Macaca fascicularis: one gene and its partners. The protein of the gene in region 1 interacts with the protein of each later gene in a pairwise test. Links are inferred from orthologs where the notes say so. Each region holds a gene or a part of one and is shown in the gene's direction. Other genes may lie near its edges.

What was found.
Region 2: the proteins of WDR4 (region 1) and RABGGTB interact in binary tests that used the Homo sapiens proteins (3 or more experiments, as listed by UniProt). The two-hybrid records come from large-scale screens. The link is inferred for Macaca fascicularis from reciprocal best matches to the Homo sapiens genes WDR4 and RABGGTB.
Region 3: the proteins of WDR4 (region 1) and FAM118A interact in binary tests that used the Homo sapiens proteins (3 or more experiments, as listed by UniProt). The two-hybrid records come from large-scale screens. The link is inferred for Macaca fascicularis from reciprocal best matches to the Homo sapiens genes WDR4 and FAM118A.

The regions. Positions count from the first base shown.
Region 1 is NC_088377.1:4,158,207-4,161,851, forward strand, and holds part of WDR4 (tRNA (guanine-N(7)-)-methyltransferase non-catalytic subunit WDR4), read left to right. Parts: intron 1-1,889; coding exon 1,890-2,030; intron 2,031-3,645. UniProt on the Homo sapiens protein: Non-catalytic component of the METTL1-WDR4 methyltransferase complex required for the formation of N(7)-methylguanine in a subset of RNA species, such as tRNAs, mRNAs and microRNAs (miRNAs).
Region 2 is NC_088375.1:158,877,048-158,880,468, reverse strand, and holds part of RABGGTB (geranylgeranyl transferase type-2 subunit beta), read left to right. Parts: intron 1-84; coding exon 85-282; intron 283-400; exon of another isoform or gene 401-473; intron 474-864; coding exon 865-970; intron 971-2,332; coding exon 2,333-2,385; intron 2,386-2,516; coding exon 2,517-2,627; intron 2,628-3,233; coding exon 3,234-3,359; intron 3,360-3,421. UniProt on the Homo sapiens protein: Catalyzes the transfer of a geranylgeranyl moiety from geranylgeranyl diphosphate to both cysteines of Rab proteins with the C-terminal sequence -XXCC, -XCXC and -CCXX, such as RAB1A, RAB3A, RAB5A and RAB7A.
Region 3 is NC_088384.1:6,273,701-6,278,032, reverse strand, and holds the start of FAM118A (protein FAM118A), read left to right. Parts: upstream 1-1,442; 5' UTR 1,443-1,752; intron 1,753-4,332.

The DNA.
Region 1 (3,645 bases):
GGTCTAAGAAGCGATTATTGTCTTGCTGAATTCTTAGCTTCTGTCCCACAGTGGTGCGGGTAAGTACCACCTCAGCAGAGACACGTAAAAGTAACTTTCAAGTTAGGCATTAAGAGTACATTGTTGGCCAGGCGTGGTGGTTTATGCCTGTAATCCCAGCACTTTGGGAGGCCAAGGAGGATGAATCACCTGAGGTCAGAAGTTCCAGACCATCCTGGCCAACATGGCGAAACCCTGTCTCTACTAAAAATAAGTTAGCTGGACGTGGTGGCAGGCACCTGTAATCCCATCTACTTGGGAGGCTGAGGCACGAGAATCTCTTGAACCTGGAAGGTGGAGGTTGCAGTGAGCCAAGATTGCGCCATTGCATTCCAGCTTGGGGAATAGAGCAAGACTCCGTCTCCAACAACAACAACAACAACAAAAAAGAGTACAGTGTTAGTGCCAGGTGCGGTGACTCATGCCTATAACCTCAGCACTGTGGGAGGCCAAGGTGGGAGGATCACTGAGTTCAGAAGTTCGAAGCCAGCCTGGCCAATGTCGTGAAACTCCATCTCAACTAAAAATAAAAAGATTAGCCAGGCATGGTGGCAGGCACCTGTAGTTCCAGCTACTGAGGAGGAGACTGAGACAGGAGAATCACTTGAACCTGGGAGACAGGTTGCAGTCAGCCGAGATCACGCCACTGCACTCCAACCTGGGTGACACAGCGAGACTCCGTCTCAAAAAAACAAAAACAAAAACACAGTGTTAGGACTTTTCTGAATACTTTTAGTTTCTGTCAGTAATCACATACCTTTTTTTTGTTTTTTTTAGACAGAGTCTTGCTCTGTCGCCCAGGCTGGAGTGCAGTGGCGCGATCTCAGCTCACTGCAAGCTCTGCCTCCTGGGTTCACGCCATTCTCCTGCTTCAGCCTCTGGAGTAGCTGGGACTACAAGCACCTGCCACCACACCTGGCTAGTTTTTTTTGTTTTTTGTTTTCTTTTTTTTTTTGAGACGGAGTCTTGCTCTGTGCCCCAGGCTGGAGTGCAGTGGCGCGATCTCGGCTCACTGCAAGCTCCACCCCACCCGGGTTCACGCCATTCTCCTGCCTCAGCCTCCGGAGTAGCTGGGACTACAGGCGCCTGCCACCTCGCCCGGCTAATTTTCTTGTATTTTTAGTAGAGATGGGGTTTCACCGTGTTAGCCAGGATGGTCTCGATCTCCTGACCTCGTGATCCGCCCGTCTCGGCCTCCCAAAGTGCTGGGATTACAGGCTTGAGCCACCGCGCCCGGCTTTTTTGTATTTTTAGTAGAGATGGGGTTTCACTGTGTTAGCCAGGATGGTCTCCATCTCCTGACCTCGTGATCCACCCTCCTCGGTCTCCCAAAGTGCTGGGATTACAGGCGTGAGGCACTGCGCCCAGGCTGCCTAGTTTTTGTAGTTTTTTGTAGAGACGTGGTTTCGCCATGTTGCCCAGGCTGGGCTTGAGCTCCTGAACTTAAGCGATCCTCTCGCCTTGTCCTCCCATAGTGCTGAGATTATAGGTGTGAGCTACCACACCGGGCCTGTTACTAGTATTTTTAGTGTGAGTTTATCCCTGCCTCTAGCCTTGGGTTAGTCCTGGCCCGTGAGGAAGAGGGTCATGTGTCTTTGAGAGTTCTTCCAGCTTAGCTCTCTGGGTTCTGGCATGTATGCTGGGAGATTTTCTCTTTAGTTAGTCTTCACGCTGATAAAATTAGAGCTGTTTGGAACCTCCCCATGTCCTTTTAGTATGTCTGTAATTTGGCTACATGAACCCCTTAACAGTTTCTACCTCCTCCCGTGTTAGAAATTACCATGCTGGCCATGGGGGAATGCATTCTTATTTCCTTAGCAGAAGCTTAACTGTCTTCCTCTCTTCCTCAGGGAGGACGCGCCCTTGGACCAGGGGAGCGGTGTGATTCTGGCGTCCACCTTCTCCAAGTCTGGCAGCTATTTTGCTTTAACTGATGACAGTAAGCGTCTGATTCTTTTCCGTACAAAACCATGGCAATGTCTGAGTGTCAGGTATGAGATGCTAACGCTGGATTCTTAAGCTGTCGAATGCACACCTTGTTCTTGCATGCCTGTAGCAATAGTGACCATAACATGGTGATAAGTGATTGACATGGAGCTGCAGTTCGGTGCCAGGCACCGCTCAGTGCCGTATGTGTGTTGGCTGATCTGATCCTCACAGCAGCTCTGGGAGGGTGCAGGGGTGCTGTTCTGTTCCCCGTTGGGTGGTGAAGAGTTAGGTAGCAGACCTCTGGTGAGTGGGCTTGGAAGACAGAGCCGGGCCCTGTGGCTGGTCCCTCCGGCTGCAGTGTTGGTGCCGGTGCCCCTGCCTTCCAGGGCGGTCCTCTGTCGTTGTGATTAGCGGGAAGGAGGCTGTGGGCCTGCACTGGAGAGTGGTAGGGATTTGGGGTCTGTTGAGGGTGGGTTTAGTGCACATATGTCTGAGTGTCTGAAGAATGGATGGGGAGTGCATCCGTGTGGATGGGGAGGCCAGTAACTCTGGCAAGAACGGAGATATCGCTATGCCTTGCCCTCTTACCAAGCAAAGTCCAGAAAGGTTCTTCTGCCTTCCCCATTCCTCTTTTTTTATTTTTTTGAGATGGAGTTTCACTCTTGTTGCCCAGGCTGGAGTGCAGTGGTGCGGCGATCTTCGCTCACCACAACCTTGACCTCTCAGGTTCAAACGATTCTCCTGCCTCAGCTTCCTGAGTAGCTGGGATTACAGGCCCTCGCCACTATGCCTGGCTAATTTTTTGTATTTTTACTAGAGACGAGGTTTCACCATGTTAGCCAGACCAGTCTTGAGCTCCTGACCTCAGGGTGATCTGCCGGCTTCGGCCTCCCAGACTGCTGGGATTACAGGTGTGAACCACTATACCCGGCCTGTCTTTAAGATTTTTATTTCATCTTCTTTTTTTTTTTCTTTTTGAGAAGGGTCTCATTCTGTCACCCAGGCCGGAGTGCGGCGGTGTGATCTTGGCTCACTGCAGCTTCCGCCTCCTGGGTTCAAGCAATTCTCCCACCTCAGCCTCTCGAGTAGCTGGGACTATAGGTGCATGCCACCATGCCCAAGAATTTTTGTTTTTTGCTAGAGACAGAGTTTGACCACATTGGCCAGGCTGGTCTCGAACTCCTGATCTCAGGTGATCCACCTGGCTCAGCCTCCCAAAGTGCTGGGATTACAGGCTTGACCCACCGCTCCCAGCTTCATCTCATTTTCAAAGAGAAGAGTAAAAATCCAAATTCAGCTGGGCGCAGTGGCTCCCACCTGTAATCCAGCACTTTGGGAGGCCGAGGCAGGTGGAGTGGATCAGGAGTTCGAGACTATCCTGTCCCACATGGCAAAACCCCGTTTCTACTAAAAATGCAAAATTAGCCGGGCATGGTGGTACATGCCTGTAGTTCCAGCTACTTGGGAGGCTGAGGCAGGAGAATCTCCTGAACCCAGGAGGCGGAGGTTGCAGTGAGCCAAGATAATGCCATTACACTCCAGCCTGGGTAACGAGCAAAACTCCAAAACTCCATTTCAAAAAAAAAAAAACAAATTCTAGGTGGCATCAAAAGCAATGAATGCCTGTTCTGTCCTCTCTTCCAGTCAGGTTAAAAAGAAAGCCCTGAAACGCTGCAT
Region 2 (3,421 bases), on another chromosome or scaffold:
CTAATAAGTTACCTTTGTGTTTGATCTCTTTATAACCTGTTTTCAGTTCAAATTGACACATTTAAGAATTGTGTATTATTTTAGGAATACTGTATGTCTGAGTATTTAAGAATGAGTGGCATCTATTGGGGTCTGACAGTAATGGATCTCATGGGACAACTTCATCGCATGAATAGAGAAGAGATTCTGGCATTTATTAAGTCTTGCCAACACGAATGTGGTGGAATAAGTGCTAGTATCGGACATGATCCTCATCTTTTATACACTCTTAGTGCTGTCCAGGTAAATACTAATTAAAATTGCAATGATCTTGATAGTGTGTTCTCTTACTTCAGAGTTGGAAATTGAAACTATTAGGATTTGGTCAAAAAGTTTTGTTACAAGTGAAGCTGTCCTACAAGGTCAATGATGTAATGGCATGTATTAGCTGAATCCAAAGTTGATGTGAGTTTCTAAAATTACACTGAGACCTTGCAGGGTAAAATTTTTATCTTCAGTATGTGTAAATACTGTTAAATAGCTAAGTGGATCTGTTTGATTTTGGTATTAGTGAACATCTACCTGGTTTAAAGTCTTTCTGGTGCTGGGTGCTGAGATGGGAAGATCAGGACTTTGTGTGTATGTGAGTTAGTACATTTGAGTATCTTGGAATGCCAAGTTAAAGTTTATATGTAGAAAAATTATACTTTAAAGATTTGAGTTTTGATAATATCTGTAATTTTATTGAATAATAGGAGAGTCTGCATATTTGAGAAAAGGCTATATACAGAGACAAAAGGAGCGCTTGGCAACTTAAAAAGAGTTGAGCATAAGATTAGAATAAACCTGAAAGGGGTATTTACCTAATACTTGTCTTTATTGCAGATTCTTACACTGTATGACAGTATTAATGTTATCGACGTAAATAAAGTTGTGGAATATGTTAAAGGTCTACAGAAAGAAGATGGTTCTTTTGCTGGAGATATTTGGGGTAATGTCAGATTTAGTCCATTCTACCCAAAATACCAATATTAAAGTGTACTGGTTTTGCTAGTAACCAGTTTATAAGTTTTTCATCTTTTCAGGTCCCACTAAGCAGCTGGTCTAACTGGAGTTAATGGTCTGCTGGAACTTCCAGCATGCACTGTGGTAGTTATATCAGCATACAGGAGCACTGGAACAGAGGGGGCCAGTCTAAAAGATAAGGTAGGTGGAATTTTTTTTCCCCAATATTTGGTGGCTTTGTAAAGTTTTTTAAAAACTACTTGCTGGAAAGGGAAAAAAATTTTAAAAAAACTTTACAAACTTGCTGAATATTTGAGTGGAGGGAGGGAATAGAATTGTATTTGATAAATGTAGATAATCTCTGCTTTAGGGATGAACACAGTGCAGGCCAGAGAGACCAGCTGCTTCATGGGATGTGAAAAATCTGCTTTTATAAGGTAGGGTAAGTTTATTGCATTATTAGAAATTGCCTAATACTTTTGGTTCTATTAGTTTTCTTCTCTTTCTGGGCATTCTTTAAGCAGCTTAAGATAATTTGCTGTGACTTTTTTGTGGCAGGGTCTTGCTCTGTCCAGGCTGGAGTGCAGTGGTGCAGTTACTGCCCACTGCAGCCTTGACAGTCCACGCTCATGATCCTCAGGCCTCAGCCTCCTGAGTAGCTGGGACTGTATAGGCTCATACTATCACAGGCAGCTATTTGTTTGTTTGTTTGTTTATTTTTTGGTGGGAGGAGGCAGAGTTGCTGGGGTTGCAGAGCTTTGTTGCCCAGGCTGGAGTGCAGTGGTGCAATCTTGGCTCACTGCAACCTCCTCCTCCCAAGCTCAAGCAGTTCTCCTGCCTCAGCCTCCAGAGTAGCTGAGACATGCACCACAACACCTGGCTGGCTTTTGTATTTTTAGTAGAGATGGGGTCTTCTGGCCTCATGTGATCCTCCTGCCTCGGCTGCCAAAAGTGCTGGGATTTCAGGCCTGAGCCACAGTGCCCAGCCCCAGCTAATTTTTTTAAAAAGTTTTTTGTAGAGATGGGGTCCTGCTATGTTGCCTAGGCTAGTCTCAAACTCCTAGGCTCAAGTGATTCTCCCGCATCAGCCTCCCAAAGTGTTGGGATTATAGGCAAGAGCTACTGTGCCTGGTCAATTTGCTGTTATTTTTGACAAAGGAATTTTCTTGGGAAGTAAAGGCACTTCAGATTTAGCTTTCTTCCTGACTACCCTAAAGTTTTTACTTTAGGGTTAAAAAAAAGTAAAGCTTGAACTCAATTTAAAGTAGTAGTTGTGCAGAGTTTGTTTTTAGATGACTCATGTATGATTTGGTAACTCCTGCCTTGATTTGATCTCTTTTTATTGTAGGAGAAATTGATACAAGATTCTCTTTTTGTGCGGTGGCAACTTTGGCTTTGTTGGTAAGCTTTGAATATTTGAAATGATTAAAGTTCATGAATGCTCTGGATTTTTTTTTTTTTTTGTCTGATCTGCTGAATACTCTGGAATTTAACAGGTTTTTTTTTGTTTGTTTGTTTTTTTCTGTTTGTAGGGGAAGCTTGATGCTATTAATGTGGAAAAGGCAATTGAATTTGTTTTATCCTGTATGAACTTTGATGGTGGATTTGGTTGCAGACCAGGTTCTGAATCCCATGCTGGGCAGGTAATGTATTAACACAGATGAAAATTTATTGTCATTTTGGAAGCAAGTGTAGTAAAATAGGAAAATGGGTTATTTCGGTGTTTGTCAAATACACATAAAGTTAATGACTGTAATATGGCATCTTAAGAATTGCTTAGTTGCTTTCATTGCTTTGCTTTATATACTATATACTATATACCTTTCTCTGTCAGTGGATCCCTCTGACCTAAGCAAACATAAGTAGGTTTGTAAGCACCAAAACACATTTTTTTCCACTAATTTTTCACTAACCATACAGATAAAAAAAACACACACATTTTTCTTTCTGCCCTGAGATAAATGATGAACCTCCTTTCTTGTGTCAGAGAACATTGAATATGTGAATGGCTGCGATTTACTAACCATGAAGAAATTTTGACAGTAATATTTCAGTACAGAATTGCATACTAGTAACACTATGTTTGGATTTGTTCAGATAAGTGGTATTAATACGTGTTTGGAATTTTAAGTGTCAGATCGAGAAGAAAACCTTAAAATATAAAGTGGTGTTTTAATAATTTGAGTAGTTTTATCACTTTTACTGTCAAGGAATTATTATACACATATACTTTATGTCTGTAATTTTAGATCTATTGTTGCACAGGATTTCTGGCTATTACAAGTCAGTTGCATCAAGTAAATTCTGATTTACTTGGCTGGTGGCTTTGTGAACGACAGTTACCTTCAGGCGGGCTCAATGGAAGGCCAGAGAAGGTATTGTTTGATAAGCTCTGTTCTGCTGACTTTAGAACCTTGAGTGAATGCTGCAGCTTTGT
Region 3 (4,332 bases), on another chromosome or scaffold:
ATCCACCCGCCTCGGCCTCCCAAAGTGCTGAGATTACAGGCATGAGCCACCGGCCTTTTTTTGCATTTAAATCGCACCTCCAGGGGTTAGGAAGCTGTATGCAGTGGTGGTTACTTGTGTAGGTCGAGGCATGGCACTACACAACCTCTTGGGCCTGAGCTTCCCCTTGTTAAATTGGAATAACAATGAAGACGCCTTCCTCATAGGGCTGTCCCAAAAACACCACGAAGAAACTCAGGCAGAGTCCTCAGGGAGTGCCTGATCCCACATACGGAGCACCCAGGGGTTGCCCTCTTCATCCCAGAGTCACAGTTCCCACAGTTTCCTGGACTCTGCCCCTTCCCAAAATATCACAGGCCGCTAACACAGCACTACCTTCTGTCACACCCTAGTCCTGGTGGGCTAGGATGGGGGAGATATTAACAGCCAACTTTAAAATCAGACAGAAAAAAAGGTGCTATGGAGACAGGAAGTAATAATTGACTCCAGCTTGGGCAGGGCAGGCTGGGAATAGGAAGTAGATTGGGGTCTTGTTTAGGTAAGAGAAAGACTTCAGTGGCAGACAAAGGAGGAGTAATAAGATCGCTAGGGGGCCCGTGCCCAGCCAATCCACGCATATTCTCACTTAGGCCTTGCAATACCCCCAAGGCGGGTGCTAGGATCACATCCTTTACGGACGCGGAACCTGGGACAGGGATGCGCGAGTAGTCAGGGGGCCTCGCTAGATCGAACCTAAGCTGGGGAAGAGTATTTCTTGTATTTTTAGTAGAAATTCTCAGCCTCGGGGAAGAGTATTTCTTGATGAGGGAAGAGCACGGGGAAGACACTCACGCGCGCACAAACATGTGGGCGGCCGTGGTGTGCCCAGCGCCGTGCTGGCTTCTGGGGACTCCCAGTGTACAAGACGGATAAGGTACCCGGATGGGAAGTGGGAGCCAGTCACAAGCGCACCTAATTTCGGAGAGTGACAAGCACTCTGAAAAGAAAGAACGTAGGGCTGGGGAGGGGACTGGCCAATTTAAGCGGGCAGGAGTCTGTTGGGGGACGGAGACTAGCCTCAGGTCTAGGCCCGTCTTGGGTTGGGGACAGAAGCTGTGCCTAAGTGTGGTGCAGGATGCAACTGCAAAGGAGCGCTTCCGAACGCACTTGATGCTCGCCACGTCCCTGCAAAGTGCTCCCGCCCCCACTCTGTAGATAAGGAAACGCGACGCGCTGCTCGCCGGGCCAGGTGGGGGTGGGACGCTGACTCCCAGCCCAAGGCCTCCCCTGCGCCCCCGATTGCGCCTGCGCTGGAGTCCCCGGGGGCGTGGCCTCCCTGGTGGGCGGGACCGTGACCACCCAGGTGGGCGGTGCCAGTGGCTCTGGCGGCGGGGTTGGGCGCGCGTCCTGGCTCCGCCCTCTCCCGGGGAAGGGCCTCCGGCGGCGGCTTGGCCGTTGGTTTCGGGACGGAACGTTCACGCGGCGGGGGCGGGCGCGCGGGGGAAGGGTTTGCGGCGGCGCCGCTGCCGGCTAACGCGGAGGGGCGCCTGGAGGCGGCGTGGCGTCCGCTCGGGCTCCGACTCCGGTTCTGGCTCTGGCTCTGGCTCTCGCTTCTAGCTCGCGTGCCCGCGCAGTCCCCTCCCCGAGAACCATCCCCTTGCCCCGCCCAGCGTGAGGGGCGCGCGGCCGCCGAGAGACCCCGGAGGCGTAGCCGGCCGCGGAGGTGAAGAGTCGGGAGCGCGAGCTGGGACCAGCGTCTCGGAGGCGCCGCAGGTGAGGGGGCGGGGCGGGCCCGCGGGCATCTTCCTCAGGATCCGCCTCGGCCCCGGGGCCACCCCCAAGACTCCCTCTCAGCTCTTCCCCTGGAGCCCCTGCCCCCGAGACCCCCTCAGGATCCGTCTGCCCCTCCAGGCCCGCGAACCCTGAAACTCCCAAGATTTTCTCTGGACTCCGAGACCCCCTGAGGACCCCGGCCGCTAGTGGGCCCTGAGAACTGTTGGTTCCGGAAACTCTCGAGGTTCCCTTGAGACTTGCTTCCAGCAGCCTCCTCAGAAGCCCCCAGGCCCGGGGCATCTTCCTGGGGGGAGCCGTGGGTCCCAGTGTCCTTAGCCCCGCTAGACCTCGGGCCCCCGTGCCGCCCACCCTGAGGCTCCCTCTCCGACCTGATCTCAGGGCTAGGTGTCTCCAACTTGAGGTCCCTGGACCTGCCGGGCGTGGGTGGAAGTGTTCCTAGGGCTGGTGATAACTTAAGATGGTAACAGCGCGCCCGACGACCACCTCCTAAGCTGCGGTCCCCGCGCCTACAGGTGCAGGGCCGGGTTTAACTTTAAATGCTCTGCTGAGACTCAGGTGACCGCACAGGACAGTCTATAGATCAGGAGACCTGAAGTGGCCGAGGGCGGCTGAACCGGGGAGGGAGTGAGTTAGGGCACATGGGGACGCTTTTAGGTTGTTTACTCCTCTTAATGTTTTCATTTAAGGAACTTTTTTTTTTTTTTTTTTTGAATGCCTGATAGGCTTCAGGAATTGACACTGGAAATAGAGATGACACGGTCCCTGATGTCAGGGCCTAGGGACCCCGGGGCATAAGACAAGTAGGTCGGTTTTACCTGGAGGAAGCTGTGTCGCCGCTGACAGGGAACCCATCTGGGTGGGCATGGGACTCTGGGAAGGGGTGGGATTCTGGGGAAGGAGTGGGTGTTAAGGAGGGCGTTTAGGAGTCGTGGGGAGGAGGTGCTAAGTAGCAGGTGAGCTGATTCTTGAAGGTTGAGCTAGAGAAGTTTGCCAGGGTCGTTCCAGGCAAAGTTCCAGGGGACAGCCAGTATGTCACAAGGCAGAGAGGCTCTGCCATGGCACAGCACACAGTGTTGGAAGGCGGGAGGTGTGGCTGGAGCGCACCTAATGAAGGTGGCGTGGGAGTGAATGCTAACTGCAGAGAACCCAGCTTTGCACCCGGAGGCCCACCGTGCCCTTGGCCCTTTCTTGAACGACTGCCCCTGCCATTGTCCCGAGAAATGATCCAGCTGAGCTGAAGGAAGGTGGGAGGTGGCCGGGGGGAGAAGTGAGGGAAGTGTCTCAGTAGAGACCTGGAATGGGAGAAGCTGGCACTTTCGCAGAGTGCTGGGTTTGAGGTGGGAGCGACAAGGAGGAGGATGTGATTCTGAGAGCCAGTCAGGACCAAAGCATGCCCAGTTTAAGCTGAGTGGAGGGTTTGGTACTTCAAGGGAGTGGGTGACCATTGAAGGGCTTCGGGAGCAGAGGGGCGGGAGTTGGTGTGTTTTTCAAAGATCCATATGGCTGTGCTGGGGAGACTTTTTTGGAGGAAGCAAGACCCTATAAGAGATGGGGGTGACCTGGACCAAGGCGGTGGTAGTGGGGGACTGTGGCTTCCTGGAACAGGGCTAAGCTTCTGAAAGCCCGGGCGCAGAAGACTGGTTCCTCCTCTTTCCTGTCTGAGCCTGGGGACTGAACTTTTAAGTGAGGTTTTTGTCCTATTACCATAGGGCCTGTGGTCGTCTTAGTGCTTCAGGGTGACTGTGTGCATCACCATAGACTAATGACCACACAGGATGCAGTGGGGTAGGGTGAGTAGAGGTTGAGTCTCTGAGGTGGGCCAGGACCATGCTGGGCTAGGAGTCCTGAAGAGAACCCGTGTGTGGAAAAAACACCCAACGTGCTTTTTCTATTCTCTCACTCAACAACAATCAACAGAGTTGTCTTCTGTGACCAAATGTGGGGAGAGGTTTCTCCCTACCACTAAGTGGCCAATCGTTTGTGCAAGAGACGCCAACTGGGTATCTTCCAATTCAGTTCTGACACTGTCTACCTGGAGATAGCATCAAATCCCACAAGTTAAGGGCTCAGTCCCCAAGACTGCCCTCCACCCCTTTGGACACCAGTCACAAGCCTGGGCCTCTGGAACTTCTGATCCATCAGCTTCAAGTTGGGGTTCCCATGACCCTTCCTTAGGTTTGATTAATTTGCCGGTTGCGGTGGCTCATGCCTGTAATCCTAGCACTTTGGGAGGCTGAGGTGGGTGGATCACCTGAGGTCAGAAGTTTGAGACCAGCCTGGCCAACATGGCAGAACCCCATCTCTACTAAAAATACAAAAAATTAGCTGGGCATGGTGGTGCGCACCTGTAATCCCAGCTACTCAGGAGGCTGAGGCACGAGAATCCCTTGAACCTGGAAGGCTGAGGTTGCAGTGAGCAGAGATTGTGACACTGCATTCCAGCCTGGGAGATAGAGCAAGACTTTGTCTCAAAAAAAAAAAAAAAACAAAAACATTGCTGTAGAACAGCTCACAAACACTCATGTTTACTGGTTTGTTATAAAAGATATTGCAAAGGAC